2 linked regions of the Saccharomyces cerevisiae S288C genome follow. The gene in region 1 interacts genetically with each later gene. Each region holds a gene or a part of one and is shown on either strand. Other genes may lie near its edges.

Region 1 (3,761 bases):
CTGAAGACCTTATGAACGAAAAGAAGGAACAATTCCCCAGGAAGTTGAAGTTTAACCAAGCCGTGATGAAGAGGGAGATCGACTCAAAGGGGACTATCCGCGAATCCCTCATCAACATAAACGATATCCAACATTCCCGCCACCATCGCCGTCACCATCGTCGCCATCATCACCATCACCATCAAAATAGTTCTCATTCTGATGAAACAATAAAAGAAGCTCATTATGAGTTCAGCAACTATACATTTGGCACTATGGAAGAAGACATTTTTTATAGGAACCAGGTTGTTTTTTAAAGGAGAGTTTGCTCTCTTCTGCATTTCCACATACACATTTGATGTTAATTTACATACGAGTATACTCTCGTACACAACATATATATATATATATATGTAATATATTCATAGCACTTACTTATTAATGAAGGCCATAAGCCAAACAACATCTCACCATTTTTCTTCAGGGTTTTCTTTAAACCTTAGGTAATCCTCTTTGTTGAAAAGCGAAATTTCGGTTTCATTCTCAATGCCATACTCGAACAGCTTTTTTTTGTCATTCTCTATGTCTAAAGTCCAGTCGTCATCGTGGTCAAAATTGATCACGAGATTAACCGTCTTGGAACCATGTGCGTGCGTGTATATCTTTAAAGTATCAAACTTAACATTACGGAATGGTCTGAATGAACCTTCATTTTGAATTTTGTTCAAAACGTCATTGAACAGGTCCTTTGCAGTTTTATCAGCAAGATCGTAATCGTGCAGCACTATGTTCTTGACGTTTCTATATGGGAAAGATTTTATTACTCGGATTGTAATAACGGAGTTCTTTAGTGGTCTGGCATTTGAGGTTAATGGCTCTTCCAAGTCATAATCATGAAAGGTTGTTGACATTTTCAGCCTTTTAGTTGAATTCATGAAATAATGCAACCAAACAAGAAAAAATTTGGGGGAGGTAGTCTACGCATTTCAGTTCTAACTTCCTTCCTTTTCTTTCACTATTAATTGAAACTTATTTTCATTTTTTTTCTTTAGCATTGAACGCCGAATCTAAAAAAGTAAAGAACTCCTCATAGGGGGCTCGAACCCCTGACATTTCGGTATCCTTGCTTAAGCAAATGCGCTTAAAAGCCGAACGCTCTACCAACTGAGCTAACAAGGATGAGTTCTTCGGAGGGCTAACTCATATAAATAACTAATAAAGGCGAAATAGTGGTCACCACCATCACACTACACCCATATCAACGACAAGAGTTTAATTTGACCGTGGAAATTTATTACTGCTGATTTGGGTTCTATGATAAATCCTCGTAACGTAGAGACTATGTTTTTATATGCGCATTAAGTGCCGGAAAACGTGAGAAATAGGCTTTCCGGAGCATCAAACCTGAGGTTTCATAAATTGTGTTCGTGAAGGATGCATTCCAGAGGGCCATCCATCCAGCATAAAAAGAGATCTACAAAGCAATTATGTGGTTTCGCCATTATCCGTAGGATGACCTAAAAAATGGTAATGATTCACGTGATCTAGAAACTTTAACGTGTTATATCATTCAAGGCGTAACTTATACGCGCGGGGTACCCTATCATATCTAACACACGTACCCTGGGTTAATGCCATGATCGTCTTTGATGTATCTCTAATGATCATTATTATTTTTTCTTTTGCTTTTAACATGAGTCAAAGCAATATTCTTATGTTATATAACTCACCCCATGTGCTCGTGGGCAGTGACGCACGCAACTTTTTCTCTTGCAAAAAATGGCATCGATGCTTTTCTGGGGAGGTGATATTAGAGGAGAAGAAGTCACAGAGTGCTCTTGGATCACGATCCCTCACTTGTACTTGTCCACTTATCAGCGCCGTCCAGTTACATTTGGAGAGATCTTTTTTTAGCCTGGCCTTCTTTGCTGTCATACTACTTTATATTCCGGGATAAAATATAAAGAAATATTAGTTAGGAAAAAATTAATAGGGAAGAAAGATCTAGAAGCAAACAGCAATGACTGCCGTCGCCTCTACTAGCGGGAAGCAAGATGCTGACCATAACCAGTCTATAGAGTGTCCAAGGTTTTCGCGTGGACAGAAAGAGATTTTGTTGGACCATGAGGATGCGAAGGGGAAGGATTCAATAATCAACTCCCCCGTGTCAGGGAGGCAATCAATAAGCCCTACTTTGTCGAATGCTACTACCACGACTACGAAATCTATTATGAATGCCACCGGCACCTCCGGCGCAGTAGTAAGTAATACTCCGGAGCCTGGTTTGAAGAGAGTCCCCGCCGTCACTTTCAGTGATCTAAAGCAACAGCAAAAGCAGGATAGTCTGACTCAGCTGAAGAACGACTCAGAAAGGACCAAGTCTCCAAATAGTAATCCTGCTCCTGTCTCAAATTCCATTCCTGGCAATCATGCAGTTATACCGAACCACACCAACACTTCAAGAACAACGCAATTATCTGGGTCTCCACTCGTCAACGAAATGAAAGATTATGATCCTAAGAAAAAAGACAGTGCTCTTAAAATAGTTGATACCATGAAGCCTGACAAAATCATGGCCACTTCAACGCCAATAAGTAGAGAAAATAATAAGGTAACCGCCAAAGCCCCCACCAGTATTACACTTCGAAAGGAAGATGCACAAGATCAAGCTAACAATGTTTCAGGCCAAATTAATGTGCGTTCTACCCCGGAAGAAACGCCAGTGAAGCAGTCCGTCATTCCTTCCATCATCCCCAAAAGAGAGAACTCCAAGAATTTGGATCCCAGACTACCTCAAGATGATGGAAAATTGCACGTGTTGTTTGGCGCTACAGGTTCGTTATCGGTATTTAAGATCAAGCCAATGATTAAAAAACTAGAAGAAATATATGGACGTGATAGAATAAGCATTCAAGTTATCCTCACTCAATCAGCAACACAGTTTTTCGAACAAAGATATACCAAGAAAATTATCAAATCTTCAGAAAAACTAAATAAAATGTCGCAGTACGAATCCACTCCGGCAACTCCAGTGACACCAACACCAGGACAATGCAACATGGCTCAAGTAGTCGAGTTACCCCCACATATTCAACTATGGACCGACCAAGATGAATGGGACGCATGGAAACAACGAACTGATCCTGTACTTCATATAGAACTACGTCGCTGGGCGGATATACTGGTAGTAGCTCCATTAACTGCAAACACATTATCAAAAATTGCTTTGGGCCTGTGCGACAATCTTCTGACAAGTGTCATTAGAGCTTGGAATCCGAGTTATCCCATTCTTTTGGCACCTTCTATGGTGAGTAGCACTTTTAATTCTATGATGACAAAGAAGCAACTACAAACGATAAAGGAGGAAATGTCCTGGGTCACTGTTTTCAAGCCGTCTGAGAAAGTTATGGATATAAATGGTGATATTGGTCTCGGGGGTATGATGGACTGGAATGAGATTGTTAACAAAATCGTTATGAAATTGGGTGGGTACCCAAAAAATAACGAGGAAGAGGACGATGATGAGGATGAGGAAGAAGACGACGACGAAGAAGAAGATACAGAAGATAAGAACGAAAACAACAACGATGATGATGACGATGACGACGATGACGACGACGACGACGACGACGACGACGACGACGACGACGATGATGACGAGGACGAGGACGAAGCAGAAACCCCAGGTATAATAGATAAGCATCAATAAATAGTCTATGAATTACAAATACACTAAACACATTCTACTTATTTGTGTTTTGTAATTTCTGGAAAAATACTCA
Region 2 (3,761 bases), on another chromosome or scaffold:
GTGGATTTTCTCCATGACTGTAGCCCTTCAACTAATTGTGATCTAGTAATGCTCTGGCCGGCCCAAGCAGATTTATTGAAATGCTGAAAGAGTTCAAAAGAATCGGCCATCGTGAATGAACCAAGACGTTCAAGATAGAGCATTACTTGAATAATGTCGAGTCTCTCTAAGTTGACTGATGTGTCAACAGCTTCTTTCCAAAAGCTCTTTTTTAAGAACGGATATGAAACATATTTGAAGCTCGAATATAATACCGGTTGCTTAGGAGCATGTGCTGGCTCAACAGTGAGATCCAATGGTATCTCATAAGGTATCCATTCGTTTTCATGTTGTTGCTGTTGCAGCATATCAAACCAAGCCAGTTCGCATTTTGCAACGTCATCATTGAATGAAAATGAGTCTTTATCAACAACTTTGATACTGAAAGCAAAATTCGTTTCATGGGGAAAAACTTCGAAAGCGGCATATTCATTAAATTCTGGGTTTAAAGTATGTTTTCTCCAAGATGTCTTGAATACTCTTCTACCAAACGAAATAACGATAAATGGATCCATTTCATAATTAGTCTTGGACAACCGATTCCTTAATGCAGGTAAATTTTTGATAGCCCCAATATGCATAAATACTACCCCCATCGCATGTTCCTTTTTCGATATAAAAAAGTTACTTTTTGCTCTTCTGTATAAGTAATTTGCATATGATTTATTATGTTTACCCCTTTGCAGGTGTAAAAGCCGACTCCCAATGTATTCTTTTGATTGAAAATCAGAATCTTCACGCTCATCCTCATTATATATATCAAACTCCTCATCACTTTCCTGTTGGTTTTCAGATTCTTCGTCATCCACTGATGTTATGTCATTTTCCGACACTGCAGGTAATTTTGCAACATCTTCTGGTTCTACGATATCATATTCATCTAAAGCTGTTATCATTGAAGATAGACTGATACGGGTATCTTCGTCGATGTCATGCACATTTATGTCTGGCACATTTGGATGATCTGCTTCTTCAAAATCATTTAGAATATCTAGTTCTTCATCATTTAGCGAAACAACCTCAGATATAGAGTCGAATATAGTATCATTGTCTATATCGTACCTCCTCTCCGTACAAATGCTGCCGCTGCTATTCATATCTTCAATAGATTCCTCAGCATCTATTTCATCCTCGGCATTGACCTCTTCATCGTGGGCTAGATCAGTATCGCTATATGGTTTCTCGCGTCGTATTTCATTTCCACTAACAGCTGAACTATTGCTCAACATATCTTCTAGTGGAGGTGGCAAAGAACTAGAAGATCTCATGCGGGCCTTATTTCTATCTATTCTGCCCAAGTAAGTGTTCAACTCATTTCTCCAAGCATTGAAAGCCTGAAAAGTCGGGGTTCTTTTAACGTTACATTCTAGCTTAAATCCAAGCAAAATATCGCCCACTAGAAAGTTGCAGTTCAAGGAATCTTGGTCTTTCCCTCCTTTCATATCGTATAGATGGTACCGCTGAGCTTCAATTGAAAATTTATAGCTCGTCGTGGTGTCCTTCCTCTTGAATAAATCCAGTAATGAAATTTTTGCTTCACCCAAATATAGATAGCTATTAATCCTATTTTTGTGTGTGGACCCGGGACCTGTTGTTGAGAGAGAAGAGGAAGAATGTGAAGGGGCCGGTGTAGCTGAAGATGATACTGAATTAATTGATGTTGAAGTTTGATTACCTTTGGACGTAACATTCAAATTTCTCGACGAATGAGAGTGAGAACTTAGCCCTGAATTTGACAGTGTCGATGAAGATGTATTTGCAGTGGTTGTCCTTGGTCTACTGGGGGTAGTAGGGGGAGCTCCGGTTGGTAGGGCGTCGTATACTATAATCCTTAACCATTCAGATGTTGGATTTCTCGGAAGTTTGATCCTCAAGGTTTGATTCCAGTGTGTATTTGAGTTCTTGAGCTTGTTCGTCTTTTGACTATAAAATGTATTAGTGGTAACAAAACATACCGGGTTACAATTGAATGTCTTCAAGGCTTCAATATTTTCAGCTTGAATGACATGAATTTTTAAAATTAGCGTTGGCTTCTTGTTCTTGCCTCGCTTTCTGCCCTTAATAATCCTCATCTTCGTCGTTGGATGCTCCTGAAAATCGAGGATTCTTTACCAATTGATACAGCATCAACCACTTTGGGCTAGTTTTAGCATCAAATTGGAATAGTTGTCATATATAAGAAGAATTCCTTGAAGTAGCACATGCGTTAGGGCTAGGATCTCAAGTTTCCAAGAGTTTGACATGTGCCCTGCTTTTTTGTCTTTCTCCTTCTTCCAAACCTCATTTTAAAGTAACATAACCTTTGTATTTTTCATATTAGCCCTTAGTTTTTTTTTACCCTAAAAAAATTTTTTTTTTTTTCTTTGAGTCGTGAAAGCTTTTTTTTTCCAGTTAAAGACCCCTCAAAATGAAAAACTTGTATAATGTTTAAAATAAAGCTGAATAAGTTGAAACTCAAGTTTATATTTAATAGGTAAAAGAATTTATCAATTGAGCACAAAACCTGCCTATACAGGAAATAATAGAATAGCAAAGAGGAAGTAAAAAGATGGGTAAAAGATTTTCAGAATCCGCCGCAAAGAAAGCAGCTGGCTTAGCAAGAAAAAGAGATCAGGCACATGCTAAACAAAGAGCACAAATGGAGCAGCTAGAAGCGGAGGAAGCTTCTAAATGGGAACAAGGTTCGAGGAAAGAGAATGCCAAAAAATTAGAGGAAGAGCAAAAAAGACAAGAAAAAGCAAGAGCTAAAAAGGAGCGCGATGCGTTGCTAACCGCAGAGGAGGAGCAACTGGGCAAGGGTGGCAAGGGTAAAAGAAAAATGAAATAAATTTGAAGAATCTTAGCCTTATAGCGGCTAATAATTGCATATGATAAAGTCATTCCCACTTTATCTCCATAAACATAAAAACGCAAGACAAATAACGACAATAAAAGTAACAGTGGTAATAATAATACTTCTGTATGAGGATGCTTATCTTTTGCGGGTTGAGTACAAAAATACACATGGTAAGAAATCACTGTTCAACGTTATAAGAATAAAGAGGGACGAGGAAGGATAATGCAAGTGTAGTTTACAGTAAAAAGAATGACTTTATGGTACTAATGGTATGAATAGTTGAAATTATGTACATTAGATTTGCATATGTATGTATATATAGCTTGCTGTCATACAAGAAGATTGATAACAATGATAAAAGTTAATGAAAAATTTACTTTTTTTCTTTCATTAAAAGGCAAATAAATGTTTCTTGTGAAAACTTTATTGACGATTGCTCGAGACAATCAGTGGGCAAAAGGATGATTGTCAAGTATGTCAACTATCAAAGTTATTGAGGTATATACACAGAATGGACTGAGAAAGGTACGGCCCTATTATAACAGAAGATCAGCGTTCGTGAAGGGGCGCTGGTTGGGTAAGTTACTAATAGACGTTCTCGTTAGTGAATTTAAACTTCGCCCAAGAGCTTATTATTTGGACCAAATAAGGAAAGGCACATATAGGTTGATCCGAGATGGTGTGCCGCTGGTACCAGATCATCTCATGACTACCATAATCAAGAATCATGATGTTTTAGAAACAACTACGCATAAGCACGAACCGCCGGTAAAACAATGGTGTAGCCAGGAAGTTGAAGCGGAGGATTTACCTGGCAGAATAGCGGGATTCAATATTGTTTTTGAAGATGAGAGTATCCTCGTCATTGATAAACCCAGTGGTATAC

The links.
Region 2: mutations in SIS2 (region 1) and PSD2 together harm fitness more than expected from each alone (negative genetic interaction), as found in Saccharomyces cerevisiae (2 studies listed by BioGRID).

The regions. Positions count from the first base shown.
Region 1 is NC_001143.9:576,362-580,122, reverse strand, and holds SIS2 (phosphopantothenoylcysteine decarboxylase complex subunit SIS2), read left to right. Parts: upstream 1-1,999; coding exon 2,000-3,688; downstream 3,689-3,761. Other genes in the region: YKR075C (uncharacterized protein), read left to right, coding at 1-296; AIM29 (Aim29p), read right to left, coding at 447-914; YKR073C (uncharacterized protein), read left to right, coding at 1,616-1,936. UniProt on the Saccharomyces cerevisiae protein: Component of the phosphopantothenoylcysteine decarboxylase (PPCDC) involved in the coenzyme A synthesis. Acts as an inhibitory subunit of protein phosphatase PPZ1, which is involved in many cellular processes such as G1-S transition or salt tolerance.
Region 2 is NC_001139.9:835,492-839,252, reverse strand, and holds the start of PSD2 (phosphatidylserine decarboxylase 2), read right to left. Parts: upstream 2,112-3,761; coding exon 1-2,111. Other genes in the region: LSO2 (Lso2p), read left to right, coding at 2,588-2,866; pseudouridine synthase PUS6, read left to right, coding at 3,350-3,761. UniProt on the Saccharomyces cerevisiae protein: Catalyzes the formation of phosphatidylethanolamine (PtdEtn) from phosphatidylserine (PtdSer). Plays a central role in phospholipid metabolism and in the interorganelle trafficking of phosphatidylserine.